Saccharomyces cerevisiae S288C: one gene and its partners. The protein of the gene in region 1 purifies or fractionates together with the protein of each later gene. This does not show direct contact. Each region holds a gene or a part of one and is shown on either strand. Other genes may lie near its edges.

The links. Proteins that work in one complex are often made in the same cells at the same time.
Region 2: the proteins of PRP40 (region 1) and NAM8 purify together in Saccharomyces cerevisiae (affinity purification with mass spectrometry; 6 studies listed by BioGRID). This does not show direct contact.
Region 3: the proteins of PRP40 (region 1) and SNU56 purify together in Saccharomyces cerevisiae (affinity purification with mass spectrometry; 5 studies listed by BioGRID). This does not show direct contact.

The regions. Positions count from the first base shown.
Region 1 is NC_001143.9:416,543-421,461, reverse strand, and holds PRP40 (snoRNA-splicing protein PRP40), read right to left. Parts: upstream 3,153-4,919; coding exon 1,401-3,152; downstream 1-1,400. Other genes in the region: putative ubiquitin-protein ligase UFD4, read left to right, coding at 1-38; CCE1 (cruciform cutting endonuclease), read left to right, coding at 246-1,307; ARC19 (Arc19p), read left to right, coding at 3,439-3,954; URB1 (Urb1p), read left to right, coding at 4,549-4,919. UniProt on the Saccharomyces cerevisiae protein: Required for pre-spliceosome formation, which is the first step of pre-mRNA splicing. This protein is associated with snRNP U1. Two commitment complexes, CC1 and CC2, have been defined in yeast. CC1 is a basal complex dependent only on the 5' splice site.
Region 2 is NC_001140.6:275,476-280,224, forward strand, and holds NAM8 (Nam8p), read left to right. Parts: upstream 1-2,677; coding exon 2,678-4,249; downstream 4,250-4,749. Other genes in the region: homeodomain family transcription factor STE12, read left to right, coding at 1-765; IPI1 (Ipi1p), read left to right, coding at 1,289-2,293. UniProt on the Saccharomyces cerevisiae protein: Component of the U1 small nuclear ribonucleoprotein complex (U1 snRNP) involved in the initiation of meiotic recombination. Involved in the formation of DSBs at recombination hot-spots through meiosis-specific splicing of REC107 pre-mRNA.
Region 3 is NC_001136.10:943,174-947,866, reverse strand, and holds SNU56 (Snu56p), read left to right. Parts: upstream 1-2,714; coding exon 2,715-4,193; downstream 4,194-4,693. Other genes in the region: AMD2 (putative amidase), read right to left, coding at 1-1,060; YDR239C (uncharacterized protein), read left to right, coding at 4,447-4,693. UniProt on the Saccharomyces cerevisiae protein: Component of the U1 snRNP particle, which recognizes and binds the 5'-splice site of pre-mRNA. Together with other non-snRNP factors, U1 snRNP forms the spliceosomal commitment complex, that targets pre-mRNA to the splicing pathway.

The DNA of each region.
Region 1 (4,919 bases):
CCATTGAAGAGGGTGCAGGAGCTTTTCTACTTTCCTAAATTTTAGTTACTTTTTCTATTTAAGTTTTATATGACTTCAAAATTATTTCTTAAGATACAAAAAATGGATGGAATCAGACTAAATTTCTTCGGATTATCCGTACTTTTCTCATTTTTTTGTTTCAACTGGCGATTCCATATTTGTTTATCCATTGCATACAACGAAGGCTTACGGTTATACAGTCTAAAGCTAAAAAAGATAGTAATATGTCGACAGCACAGAAAGCTAAGATATTGCAACTCATCGATTCCTGCTGCCAAAATGCAAAAAGCACACAACTGAAATCTTTATCATTTGTTATTGGAGCAGTAAATGGCACGACGAAAGAAGCTAAAAGAACCTACATTCAAGAACAGTGTGAATTTTTGGAGAAGTTACGACAACAAAAGATAAGAGAGGGAAGAATTAACATATTGTCTATGGATGCTGGTGTTTCTAACTTTGCTTTCTCTAAGATGCAATTGCTCAATAATGATCCGCTCCCTAAAGTACTAGACTGGCAAAAGATAAATCTAGAGGAGAAATTTTTTCAAAACCTCAAAAAGTTAAGCTTGAATCCTGCTGAAACTTCTGAGCTTGTATTTAACCTTACGGAGTATTTATTTGAATCTATGCCGATACCAGATATGTTTACAATTGAAAGGCAACGTACCAGAACTATGTCTTCGAGGCATATTTTAGACCCAATTTTAAAAGTGAATATTCTCGAACAGATTCTTTTCTCTAACTTGGAAAATAAAATGAAGTATACGAATAAAATACCGAATACGTCCAAGTTGAGGTATATGGTATGTTCGTCCGATCCACATCGGATGACTTCATATTGGTGCATTCCAAGAGAAGAGACACCGACCAGTTCAAAAAAGTTAAAATCTAACAAACATAGCAAAGATTCTCGAATAAAGCTAGTGAAAAAAATACTTTCAACCTCAATACTAGAAGGTAATTCAACTAGTTCTACAAAACTGGTCGAGTTCATAGGAGTTTGGAATAATAGGATAAGAAATGCCCTTACCAAAAAAAAAAGTTTCAAGCTATGTGATATACTAGAGATCCAAGATAATTCGGGGGTGAGAAAAGATGACGATTTGGCAGATTCATTCCTCCATTGTTTGTCTTGGATGGAGTGGTTAAAAAATTATGAAAGTATTACTGAACTCTTGAATTCAAAAACACTGGTTAAAACACAGTTCGGACAGGTGTTTGAATTTTGTGAAAATAAGGTACAAAAGCTGAAATTTTTGCAGAACACTTACAACAATGACTAAGAAATTGTGCGGTGATCGCAAACTTGAAATAACATGTAATCTCTATGTATAATTTATATAATGATTAACAAGATAGAGGTCGACACGTCAGAATCAATAGTCCAATTCCACAGCCGGAGTTAAATGCCTCTTTTTTGACGCGGTCAACGTTAAGTTTGCAGTAGCGCTTTCGGCAGTCGGTGCAGAGCTTTCAGGCTTAAAATCCTCGAAAATTTGTCTTCTTATGTTATCTTCATCGCCTAGTGCCTTGTATTCAAGAGATTCGCCAAGCTCTTTGGAAGCTAAATCCCACGTACTAGGCTTGGGCTTACCGGTTTTTGTATATGTCCTTTGCAAAAGTAACCAAAAATAGTGCTTCTTTTGCTCCAATATCCTACGCTCATTTTGGAGTTTCTGTTGTATCTTTTCGTTTCTTTGCTTTATCAAACCATCAACAATCAAACTGATGTCTTCTTTATCCACCTTGTCAAATTTCCGGTCATTTTCCAGAACTTTTTCTATGTTTTGCTTGGTGATCTCGTCGCTATCGGCATCATTCCATTCAAAATTTTGATCTATCAACGTCTGTTGGGCTATTGATCTTTGTGCAAAGATGTACATCCTTTGTTCATCAACAAAATCTAAAAATAAATCAAGGCAGGACGAGCCATTCCTTCCAAGCATATGTAAAAAGCGCGGATCAGACTTTATATGAGGATAAATATCTGACCATCTAGTATTTGCTTTGATTTTGATTGGCACTTCTCTTAATAAGCTTTTAAAGTTATCTCTAGCAATACGGTCTCTGGTATAATTGCGCAGTCGGAGCTCATTTAGTTTGTTTTGAAGATCGTTTTCAATCGTATTTACTATTTTCAGATACTCGTTTAAAACATCTTCGTGGGTTAAGACTTTGAAGTGCCGGTTCGCCATATATCTCTTACTCTTATCAAAAACATAGTGATTTAAAAGCTGCTGCCAGGTTATGAAAGTTTCAGAGGATGATGTTGTTATAATACCGTTTAAATACTCTCTTAGTTCTTTTAGGGCCTGTGTTTTCAATTTTTTTTTTGATTCTTTCTGAGTGTCGATGAGGGTATCTATATAATCTTGAAAGGTCTGTCTCTTTGTCTTTTCATTGACCACGGAGTGTTTGTATATTGGTTCGTCGGCAATTAGTCTCTTTGCGGTAGGCCAACGGGTGTAATATTTTATATGAGAATTGTTTTGCAACATTTTCTGAAAGGCTTCTTTGAATTTGCTTGTTTCATTGTGTTCCTTAAGAAGTTGATCGGCTGATCTATTGGAAAGATATTTCTCAAACATTTCTTTCTTCCATAAGGGGTCATCATCGACCATCCAATACCTTGGATCTCTGGTCCCCAGTTCTGAAATAATTCTACTGAATGACCAAGTAGAGTCTACTTGATTTTCCTTCAGCATGGTAATAAATTCCTTCTCTGCTTCTTCTTTAGTCCTTCTCCTGACATTAAGCAGTTTAGAGTTATTAGCATATTGGCTTTCCTCCTCGTTTATAGTTCGTCCCGGCTCTTGTTTTTCTCCAGCCGTAAGGGCTATTCTATTTCCATTAACCTGTGCATGGGATACTGTATCATGTTTTTGTTCTGCGATGGGTTCTACTTTCTTCTCGAAGGCCGGAATAGTCCAGCTGGTTTCTCTTGTTGTTGGATTATAATAGTATACTTTGCCGTCTGCCGTCTTGGCCGCCTTCCAGCCATTTTCTCGAAGAAGTAGCTCCTCCTGAGAAATTAGTTCCTTGGGCTTCTCCCACGTAGATTTCTTTGTCAAAGTATTGTAATAATATATCCTTCCACTTGCATCTTTAGCTTCCTTCCAAATAGACATAGTTTCACGTCTCCCACCTCCGGCAATGCTTGTCTAGTGGTCGATCTGGCTTCAGACCTTGTTATCCTGATAGGTAGGCACGCTATTGCGATGTCATCAACTGCCAGATTTCCAAGTACATTATTATTGTCGATAATTTCATATCGTTTACCACGTCGCCCCTTTTGTATAGCAAAATACAATTATAGAACAAAAAAAGCCTGTAAAGCCAAGCAAATAGAGGCTTTCGGAACAACTCGGTGTCACTTTGACAAAAGATAAAAGAGGAAGCAACTGATAGTAGGAAATGTCACAATCATTACGTCCGTATCTAACGGCTGTTCGTTATTCCCTGGAAGCTGCGTTGACTTTGAGCAATTTCTCTTCGCAGGAAGTGGAGAGGCACAACAGACCGGAAGTTGAAGTCCCTAACACTAGCGCCGAATTGTTGCTCCAACCGATGCATATATCTCGTAATGAAAATGAACAAGTATTGATTGAGCCCAGTGTAAACTCGGTGCGTATGAGTTTAATGGTGAAACAGGCAGATGAAATTGAGCAGATTTTAGTTCACAAGTTTACTAGATTTTTGGAACAGCGTGCTGAAGCATTCTACATTCTGAGACGTGTACCAATACCTGGCTACAGTATTTCTTTTCTAATAACTAATAAGCATACTGAATCAATGAAAACTGGGAAATTGGTTGATTTTATTATTGAATTCATGGAGGACGTGGATAAGGAAATCAGTGAAATTAAACTGTTTTTGAATGCCAGAGCAAGATTTGTTGCGGAAGCATATCTTGATGAATTTGTCTATTAGATTCCTAATATAGGAAAGGGAATCTTTCTCCGTCAGGGCCCTATTGACGGAAAACTTTACGATCTGTACTGACTGTGTTAGTTTGCGTACTCAATTGAACTATTTCGAGACTATTTAGTTAGATACAATAACATGTGTATGTGAATTAATTATAAACGTACTTTTAAATTGCAGTTACTTTGTATAATTATGGTGATTTTTTTAGTACTTAAATTATATTCATAAAAAGGGATTAAAATGTTTCTCCCGACACCTAAAATTAAACTTCAATCTGTCAATTCTAACACAAAACGTTTTCATTTTACGTAAACAAATGAAGATTGAAGATTCTAAAGCATTTATTATTACTGCCGCACTAGTATACGACCAAACTAAAATTATATGATAATAGTGCACCAACATATAGTAAACAGCTTTTACCTATGCACGACTTGCATGAGGATTTCAATATTATATCACTGTAGACGAAATATGAAAAATTTCAGCAATAAAGCTCATCGCAAAGAATAGTTCGGTTATATTCTTGATTGGATATTATTTCTCTAATCTATGCGGTACTACTTCATCTAACAGAACTAGAGGAGCACTTACATAATGAGTAATCATAGCGAAGCCTATGGATCTCGCGACCAGAGAAGGGAGAAGTACACCCAAGGGAAAGAGTTCGAAGACGGTACATTAGAAACACTAGAAAGTATAATCAGTGCAGTCGAAGATGAAACTCTCTCCAAAGATTACCAACCTCTAATAGTGTTCTTCCAAAGAGGATTTGGTGCTCAATTGGTACAGACTTGGTCATATTATGCTCAAGTAAATAACCATGGGAAATTCTCGAAAACTACCTCATTACTGACTAAAACCTTACGAGTTTTGTCATCTGATACTAGTACAGTGACTATTGGGAGCGGTCTAATTAGATTGATATTGACCGATTACACAAAAGTTCTCTATAGAGGGTTGAACAA
Region 2 (4,749 bases), on another chromosome or scaffold:
GGCCAGCAAACTAAACAACACCAATTATATTCTAACAACTTCCAGCAATCTTACCCAAACGGAATGGTTCCAGGATACTACCCAAAAATGCCGTATAATCCCATGGGGGGGGATCCTCTACTCGATCAAGCCTTTTATGGCGCGGACGATTTTTTCTTTCCACCAGAAGGATGTGATAACAATATGCTGTATCCACAAACTGCAACTTCATGGAATGTTTTGCCCCCTCAAGCTATGCAACCAGCTCCAACCTATGTTGGGAGACCATACACACCGAATTATAGATCGACACCAGGTTCCGCGATGTTCCCATACATGCAAAGTTCAAATTCCATGCAGTGGAACACTGCTGTTTCACCTTATAGTTCGAGAGCACCATCTACAACTGCTAAAAACTATCCTCCTAGCACATTTTATTCTCAAAATATAAATCAATACCCACGGCGAAGAACTGTGGGAATGAAGTCTTCACAAGGAAATGTTCCAACAGGTAATAAACAATCTGTGGGCAAGTCTGCAAAAATTTCAAAGCCTCTACATATTAAGACAAGTGCTTATCAGAAGCAATACAAAATCAACTTGGAAACGAAAGCCAGGCCAAGTGCTGGTGACGAAGATTCTGCTCATCCTGATAAGAACAAAGAAATTTCGATGCCTACTCCGGATTCCAATACTTTGGTGGTCCAGTCAGAAGAAGGTGGAGCTCATTCACTTGAGGTAGATACCAATCGAAGGTCCGATAAAAACCTTCCAGATGCAACCTGATATAATATAATTTTTGAATTTATGATACAAGAATTAAAAATGCGGGCCAGAATTTAATATTAAACAATACTCAGAAGAAAACAACAAGGACAATCTGTTTTTATAAATAAAACAATCTTATACAAGACTAGAGCAAACAAAAAGCAAGAAAAAAAGGTAATAAATGTAACAAATCTATTAACGTTAGAAAATAACAAAAAAAAAAAAAGAAAAAGATAATATAATATAATACCTTTATATATGTGATTTATCTAGCGTCACAGTATGTAATATAAATATCAATGAGTTTCTTAACATGACCTCCAAAACTACATGATCGCTTAGTATTACAATATGTGTTTATCCACTATTTTGATACCAACGTAGTATTGCCTTTTATTTTTCAGAATGGCAAAGGCCATCGGAAAATTTTTCCACCAGAAAAAGCGAGATTCCTAATTATAAGGTGAAGGCATCGATGTTCATAATAGTTAAAAGTTGTAATCAAAAAAGAAAAAGGTGCAGAGATAAACAAAGTTAATAAATGACAAAATCAAGAAAGCAGAAGCAAAAAAAGCAGGATTTTTTGAGAAAAAAGTTAAAAGTTGGTAAGCCAAAGGAAAAAGCAAGGAATGCTACCGATACATCTTTCGTTTCCAAGACTATTTCTATTAGAAATCAACATTTAGACCAAAATCCACATGATTTAACAAAACGGCTAACGCTCTTAAAGCATCATAACATCAATGTGAGAAAGGAAACATTAACAACATTCCAAAAGTCAATACCGTCTATAATAAAATCTCGACTTATGACACCATTACTTACTCAAAGTATACCGTTGATTTGCGATGAATCGCAGCAAGTACGTCAGGGACTTATTGATCTCGTAGATGAAATAGGTAGTCACGATGCGGAGATTTTAAAATTGCACTGCAACATTTTTGTCTTATACATTAACATGGCAATGACACATATTGTTACACAAATTCAAGCAGATTCTACTAAATTTCTCTCTCATCTGTTGAAGTATTGCGGAGATGAAGTGGTTAGGAAATCTTGGGTAAAACTTTTGAACGGTGTCTTTGGAGTGCTCGGTTGGGGACAGGTAGGGAAAAATGATAGCGCTAGCATAGTGCAAACGAAGAAGCGAAACGCCAAATATGTCACTATTCATCTCAATGCTCTGTACACTCTTGTTGAATACGGATGTCAGGATGAACGCGCTAGAAGCGACGGAGACACGGCAGAGACTACAGAGGACAGCGGTACGCTACGAAACCCATATTTAATCCCAGATTATCCGCAGCCGTTTGAGCACTTGAAACTATTTACCAGAGAATTGAAAGTTCAGGATGCTACCTCCAGTGGAGTAAATGCCACACTACTGTCATTGGCAACACAGGATATCGATACTCGAAAAGCGGTATTTATCGAACAATTCCTGCCTATAGTACGTAAGAAAATCGAAGTAATTATCAAGGAAGGTGGTGAATGTGGTAAAAGTGCAAACAAGCTTAAAACGCTGCTTGCAAAAATCTTTGATTGACGTTTCATAAGAATACAATATATAATTGATAGATTGTACTTTTTTTTTTGTTACCCTCAGGAGAGGCAGGGCGAAAAATGCAGAATCTTGGATTTTTTTTAAGTAGATCTAAGTTTGTTTATTTTTCAAATACTATTGGCACAAAGGGAAGGGCTTTTCAGGGATTATTCAGATTCGAGTTGGTGGTGAAATTGTGTGTGCGTACATCCTTATATCAGAGCTTTCCTTTAGTGACAACATTTAAATCGACGTGACCTTATTCGGGTAGTCAAACACCGAACCATATTCTTTGCCCTTAGGTTACTTTCCCTTCATTTTATCAGCTTAGTCGATTAAGTTCGTGTCTATATCCCGTCAAAAGTTCCTAATACATTGCGGGTACAAATGTCCTATAAACAAACAACATATTATCCTAGCAGGGGTAATCTGGTAAGAAACGACTCATCTCCGTACACTAATACTATTTCCTCAGAAACCAACAATAGCAGTACAAGCGTATTGAGTCTTCAAGGCGCATCTAACGTGAGTTTAGGGACCACTGGTAACCAATTGTACATGGGCGACTTGGATCCTACATGGGATAAGAATACCGTTAGGCAAATTTGGGCATCTCTGGGAGAAGCGAATATTAATGTCCGGATGATGTGGAATAATACGCTTAATAATGGGTCGAGATCATCAATGGGTCCAAAGAATAATCAAGGATATTGCTTTGTTGATTTTCCCTCATCTACTCATGCAGCAAATGCACTTTTAAAGAATGGTATGCTTATACCCAATTTTCCAAATAAAAAATTGAAATTAAACTGGGCTACATCCTCATATTCAAACAGCAACAATTCTCTTAACAACGTGAAGAGTGGTAACAACTGTTCTATATTTGTTGGAGACTTAGCACCAAATGTTACAGAGTCTCAATTATTTGAACTTTTCATTAACAGATATGCTTCTACTTCTCATGCCAAAATTGTGCACGACCAGGTTACCGGGATGTCTAAGGGCTACGGTTTTGTAAAGTTTACCAATTCTGATGAACAACAGTTAGCTCTGTCAGAAATGCAAGGCGTATTTTTAAATGGTAGAGCCATAAAAGTAGGACCCACATCTGGTCAGCAGCAGCATGTCAGCGGTAACAACGATTACAACCGTAGTTCTTCGTCACTAAACAACGAAAATGTAGACTCGAGATTTCTTTCCAAGGGTCAATCATTTTTAAGCAATGGAAATAATAACATGGGCTTTAAGAGAAACCATATGTCTCAATTCATTTATCCAGTCCAACAGCAGCCGTCTTTAAACCACTTCACTGATCCGAATAACACCACTGTGTTTATCGGAGGATTGTCATCACTGGTGACTGAAGACGAATTACGTGCTTATTTCCAACCTTTTGGCACGATAGTCTATGTCAAAATTCCGGTAGGCAAATGTTGCGGGTTTGTCCAGTATGTTGATCGGCTATCGGCTGAGGCTGCCATTGCTGGGATGCAAGGGTTCCCCATTGCAAATTCAAGAGTTAGACTGTCTTGGGGCAGGTCTGCTAAGCAAACAGCGTTGCTTCAGCAAGCCATGTTAAGTAACTCTTTACAGGTTCAACAACAGCAACCAGGTTTACAGCAACCTAACTACGGATACATTCCATCCAGTACGTGTGAAGCACCTGTTCTGCCAGATAATAATGTTTCATCCACGATGCTTCCTGGATGTCAAATTCTGAATTATTCTAATCCATACGCTAATGCGAATGGATTAGGCTCGAACAATTTCAGTTTCTACAGTAATAATAATGCTACAAATACGCAAGCTACTAGTTTACTGGCTGACACTAGCTCTATGGACCTCTCAGGCACGGGTGGCCAACAAGTTATCATGCAAGGAAGCGAAGCGGTTGTTAACAGCACTAATGCAATGTTAAACCGTTTGGAACAAGGCAGTAATGGTTTTATGTTTGCTTGAGCCACACGTGTATATAAAAATGTTTGTTTTCCTTTTGGCCCTTTTTCTTTCTTGGTATTTTCTTTACTTCAGTGTTAAATTGTATTTGGTCTTAGGCTGACGGTGATATAACAGCGCTTTATTTTCTTTTTTTCATTGCTTTTTATCGTTTTCAAGATTCCATGTCCTTTTATTAAGTCTTTTTTGTATCGTTATAGTTGCGTTTTTCCTTTTGATTTTCATTTCTTTCAAGGTTATTGTTATTCTTAATTCAATTCAAGATTGTACGCTTTTAAGCATGTTTATGATTTTCCTTTATTACTTCCATTTACCTTCTTTCCATCACTACTCATTACGGCCTGTCAATTCCTTTTTTGCGTCACCTTCATTTTTTCTTCTCTGTTCTTTTCTGTATTTGTCGAAAATTTTATATTGATGTATCTTAATTTTATTTTTAGTATTATTATACTGTAAATGTTTCTTACTGTGTCAAGATTTCCCGTTGCGCTATCTTCCAAGAC
Region 3 (4,693 bases), on another chromosome or scaffold:
CCTTCATTCCTTTAGTTTTATTAACTAGGTCTTCGCACGTCTTTAAAGCCCTGATGTCACTGGGCGGAGGATCAATAACGCCGTCACCATACCATATTCCAACAACATAATTATCGTGTAATTTACTTGTAGAGGAATCAAAATGGTATGGAATACACTTGACGTCTTGTACCCATGGTTGACAGATGTTGATAACGCAACTCATGAAGTATCTCAAATCCGAAAGATCTCTTGCCAACGGCCCAATTACACTGGGAATTGTTTCCCTTCCCTCAAATGAATTATCCACCCTCAAGTAAGGGACGCGTCCAAAAGTTGGTTTCAAACCAAATAATCCTTGGTAACTACTAGGAATTCTGATGCTTCCGCCTATATCAGTTCCTAGTCCCAGCAAGGAACCATGAGCACCAATTAACGAACCCTCTCCACCAGAAGATCCACCACTGGAGAAGCTTAAATTAATACTATTATATGTGTACCCAAAGGTGTTAGATTGTGTATCTGTAGCCATCATCGATGAAGGTACGGTGGTTTTTACAAATATAATAGCTCCTAAATCTCTCAGAAAACTGACAATCAATGATTCTTCATTCTTGGTTTTTGGTTTGAAAGTTCGACATAAATAACCCAGTGAGGTGTCTACACCCTCAACGTTACATTGGTCTTTGAGAGATATCGGTATACCGTACAAGGGTGGCAATATGGCTGGTCTATTGCTGTCGTAATAGTCAGCCAATCTCAATGCCTCTGAAAACATGATTTCGGATAGACAATTCACTACTTGATGAATTAAAGCAGCCCTATGACAAAATGCAGCTGTTATTTCATGGCAGCTTAACTCTTTTGCTTCCAGTGCCTGTCTCAAGGCCATAATCGTGGAGTGGGTGATCTGATTTTCTGAAGATGAGCATAAATCATCGATATTCTTGATTAAATTTTTTTTATCGTTCTTCAACCTCGTTATAGTTGTGCTGTTTAATTTCCATTCGTCTTTTATCTTACTGTTCAGTTGATCTTTTTTTAATTGAACTTTTTCCTTCCACGTTGAGTGCACAGTCATTGTATAACTTTGGTACCGTGTTGTCTGTCGTTAATAACAGGTCAGAGCGGCTGTCCCTTCCACTCCCCATTGAAAAAAAAGTATTTACTCGACTATATATATGTAATACGCTTTTGAATACTAAAATAATGTTATCAGTAATCTTATCTATTATTATCATATTATCATATTATTAGCTATTATTATATCATGAGCAATTCGCGCGCGCGGCATTTGAGATAGCAAACTTAATCCGTCACACAGATAATACTACAAATTATGACACATAATACTCCCGGTACTCAATAATATCTCATTGTTCGGTCACGAATGTGTCATTGACTATCCAATAGAGAATCAAATACAACGACTACTGGGAACTTATCTCCAGAAAGCCGGCTAAAAGTAGGTGCTTGACATAAAAAAATCTCCCGGGGGCGAGTCGAACGCCCGATCTCAAGATTTCGTAGTGATAAATTACAGTCTTGCGCCTTAAACCAACTTGGCTACCGAGAGTCGATTTCTTGCGAGGTGTTGTATCTCAAAATGAGATACGTCAGTATGACAATACGTCATCCTAAACGTTCATAAAACACATATGAAACAACCTTATAACAAAACGAACAACATGAGACAAAACCCGTCCTTCCCTAGCTGAACTACCCAAAAGTATAAATGCCTGAACAATTAGTTTAGATCCGAGATTCCGCGCTTCCACCACTTAGTATGATTCATATTTTATATAATATATAAGATAAGTAACATTCCGTGAATTAATCTGATAAACTGTTTTGACAACTGGTTACTTCCCTAAGACTGTTTATATTAGGATTGTCAAAACACTCCGGTATTACTCGAGCCCGTAATACAACACGAGGGCTTGAAATATGTTTCTTATAATTAATATCAAACTTGTTTGGAGGTTCCTATGACAGCGCCTCATAACTCGTGTCATCTTTGTACTTGTTAGAGATTGTTGGGACAGATGAACATTAACTTTTCATAAGATATTACAATAGCAATATAAATACTTAAATGGTATACTATAGTTCTAATGGAATTCTAGCATCATCTATTTAGTAGTATTTATATTATTAGTATATTATCGCATACGGTATAAGAAGATGTAGTTTACTTGCTTCAAACCAGTGACCTGAGAAAGGGGTGAATAATTTGATGATTGTTGGGATTCAATCCTTGGTAAAGGTATAATATTATGAATGAATAATGTACTAGAAGCTCTCCCCGAGATATAAGAACCCGCAAAAGAGGATCGGTATTCTTACGTAATAATATTATAATCTCATCTTCCATTTTTTATGTGACATTATCCTATTACATCATGAGTTGTTGCATTTCCTCTTCCATTTGATGACTGTCTTTCAATCTTTATGTCATCTTCTTACACCGCATTTGATAATATACTACTAACACGAATGCTAATAAACAGATGATATTTTGGATTTTTACTCCAACATGATCTTTAATTACTTCTTCATATTTCTTATTCTCATGATTGCTACTGGTTTGTTGTAACCTTTTTTTTATTTGAGCTAGAATTTTCAGCGCGCATCGCAGTGTAGAAAACATTAAAGTTATATTATATACTATAGTAGAAGTTTGACGTTGAGAAACAGTTTCCCTTCGACTAATATAAGCAAAAAATATTAGTATCATGCGCCCAAGAAGGAGAGGATTAGCGTATCATCATACCAAGCCGAAGGGACAACTTTCACAAGGACATTATCCTACGACATCCAATGATGGCCAAAGAAGGAAGGTCGGTAATTCTGAAGCATTCCAATCTTTTGATATATGGAAAAACCTAGATAGGATAAGGTCGACTAAGAAGAATGCAGGGCAATTCATAAAAGGTAGTCTGCTCATACTCCCCATGAGAACGGAAGATAAACAACAGTTCGACGAGTGCATGGATGAATTGCATAAGTATATATCGAAGGATATATTACGATGTTATCCACAGAAAGAGCAGAAAGATGAAGGCATGCTTTTCTACATAGTTTTGAAGGACTTCAATATATTGGACTCTTGCTTCGTATTATCAGTTCTGCTTGCTTTCCAGAAGCGATTATGGATGGCACCATCCGAAAAATCATACTTTAGAGTTCCTAAGAATATTAACTTGACAGGTTCGTTTTATTTGCCCAAGAATATAGAAACTGGTAGAGGCCATATAATAACAAGCTATAGAAGAGAGCAGCCCTCATCCAGTATTGTAGAAGTTGGTTTCAATGTTGTTCCAGATTTTCAACAGTTTCAAGTTAAGGCTTGTCATGTAAGTAAGTTCATGAATGAGCTTTCTAATTTTTTTTCACAAGTAGAATTTGGCAAGTGTGAAGCTAACGTGATAAACTACTTTAAGCGTGAATATAACCGCACTTATTCACAGATATCACTTGCCCTCTACGAACTTCCATTAATTGGCGATGGCTTGTTTGATATAAAGTCGTACATTAGTAAAACCAGGCCAATTATAGAAACATCAAAAGCTCAAATGATTAAACATATTTCTGAAATGAAGGCATATAACGAAATAAGTGGCCTTCAAGGAGATCAATTTCCACGACAACAAAGACCTTTATCGAATTCGCCCTCTTCAAATTCAATTTCCTCTTCTCAAACTATTGAAGCAGGTGCAACTTCATATCAAACACAACCACAGAGACACGCTGTTAATAAGCCATCAAATGTATTGAATTCTTCCAATCGTCATTCCGGGCCAAAAACTTTTGAGGACGGAAGGTATAGTGAAGGTAATAAACCGGGTTTTATGACGCAGGATGAAATCAAACAACATTGCATTGGTACCATAAAAGCTTCTATGGATGCAGTGAAAAAGAAGTCTTCGTATCAGATTCTAAAGACATACGTTAGGTGTCCAAGACAAAATTATATTGATATTGTTTATCAAAATCTAAATGATCTACGATCAAAGACAAATTGTAATATCGTCGTATTGAATCTGAATAATCTTCACGAGTCACAAATGTGGCTTGAATCTTTAAATACAACAAATTACACTATTTTTGCTCAGGCGCCTCACCCAAGTACCATCCGCGTTATTAGTATTGGTGGAGTCGGTGAATATATAGTCAAAGCATTAGAGCTGATATTGAATATATTAGAACATTGAGTCGCATATAACAGTGGAGGTGTATAGATATATTTAAAAAACCTTTTGGTTATTTTTTCTCTTTCATGGCATTTGCTCCGTATGCAAAGCGATAGTTTAATTTAATGTTTTCTTTCAAATGTCATCGCGGATTCAAAGAGCGCACTATTATTATTTGGCAAAAGTTTAAGAGGGAAAATGTTGAAATAGCATGTTCTGCAAAGCGAATTACAGGTTTTGAAGGAGTCTACAGGTAAAGTCTAATAATACAGTGATGTTTGATGGCTTTAGCAACAATAAAGGTAAACGAAGGTCTTTTTTTCGGTTTGGTTCTGAAAGTAAAAACAATGACTCTGAAAAATCCGTTAGAAAGCCATCGGTGCCCTCTACAATAAAGAAATCAACAAATATCGCACGAACTTCGACGGCTGAAACTTCTGCCCCTGATATACCGCCAAGAAGTCCAAATAGGAATGCTCATAGCAGGAGCCATTCTATCCAGGCACCATTACAAAAGGAAA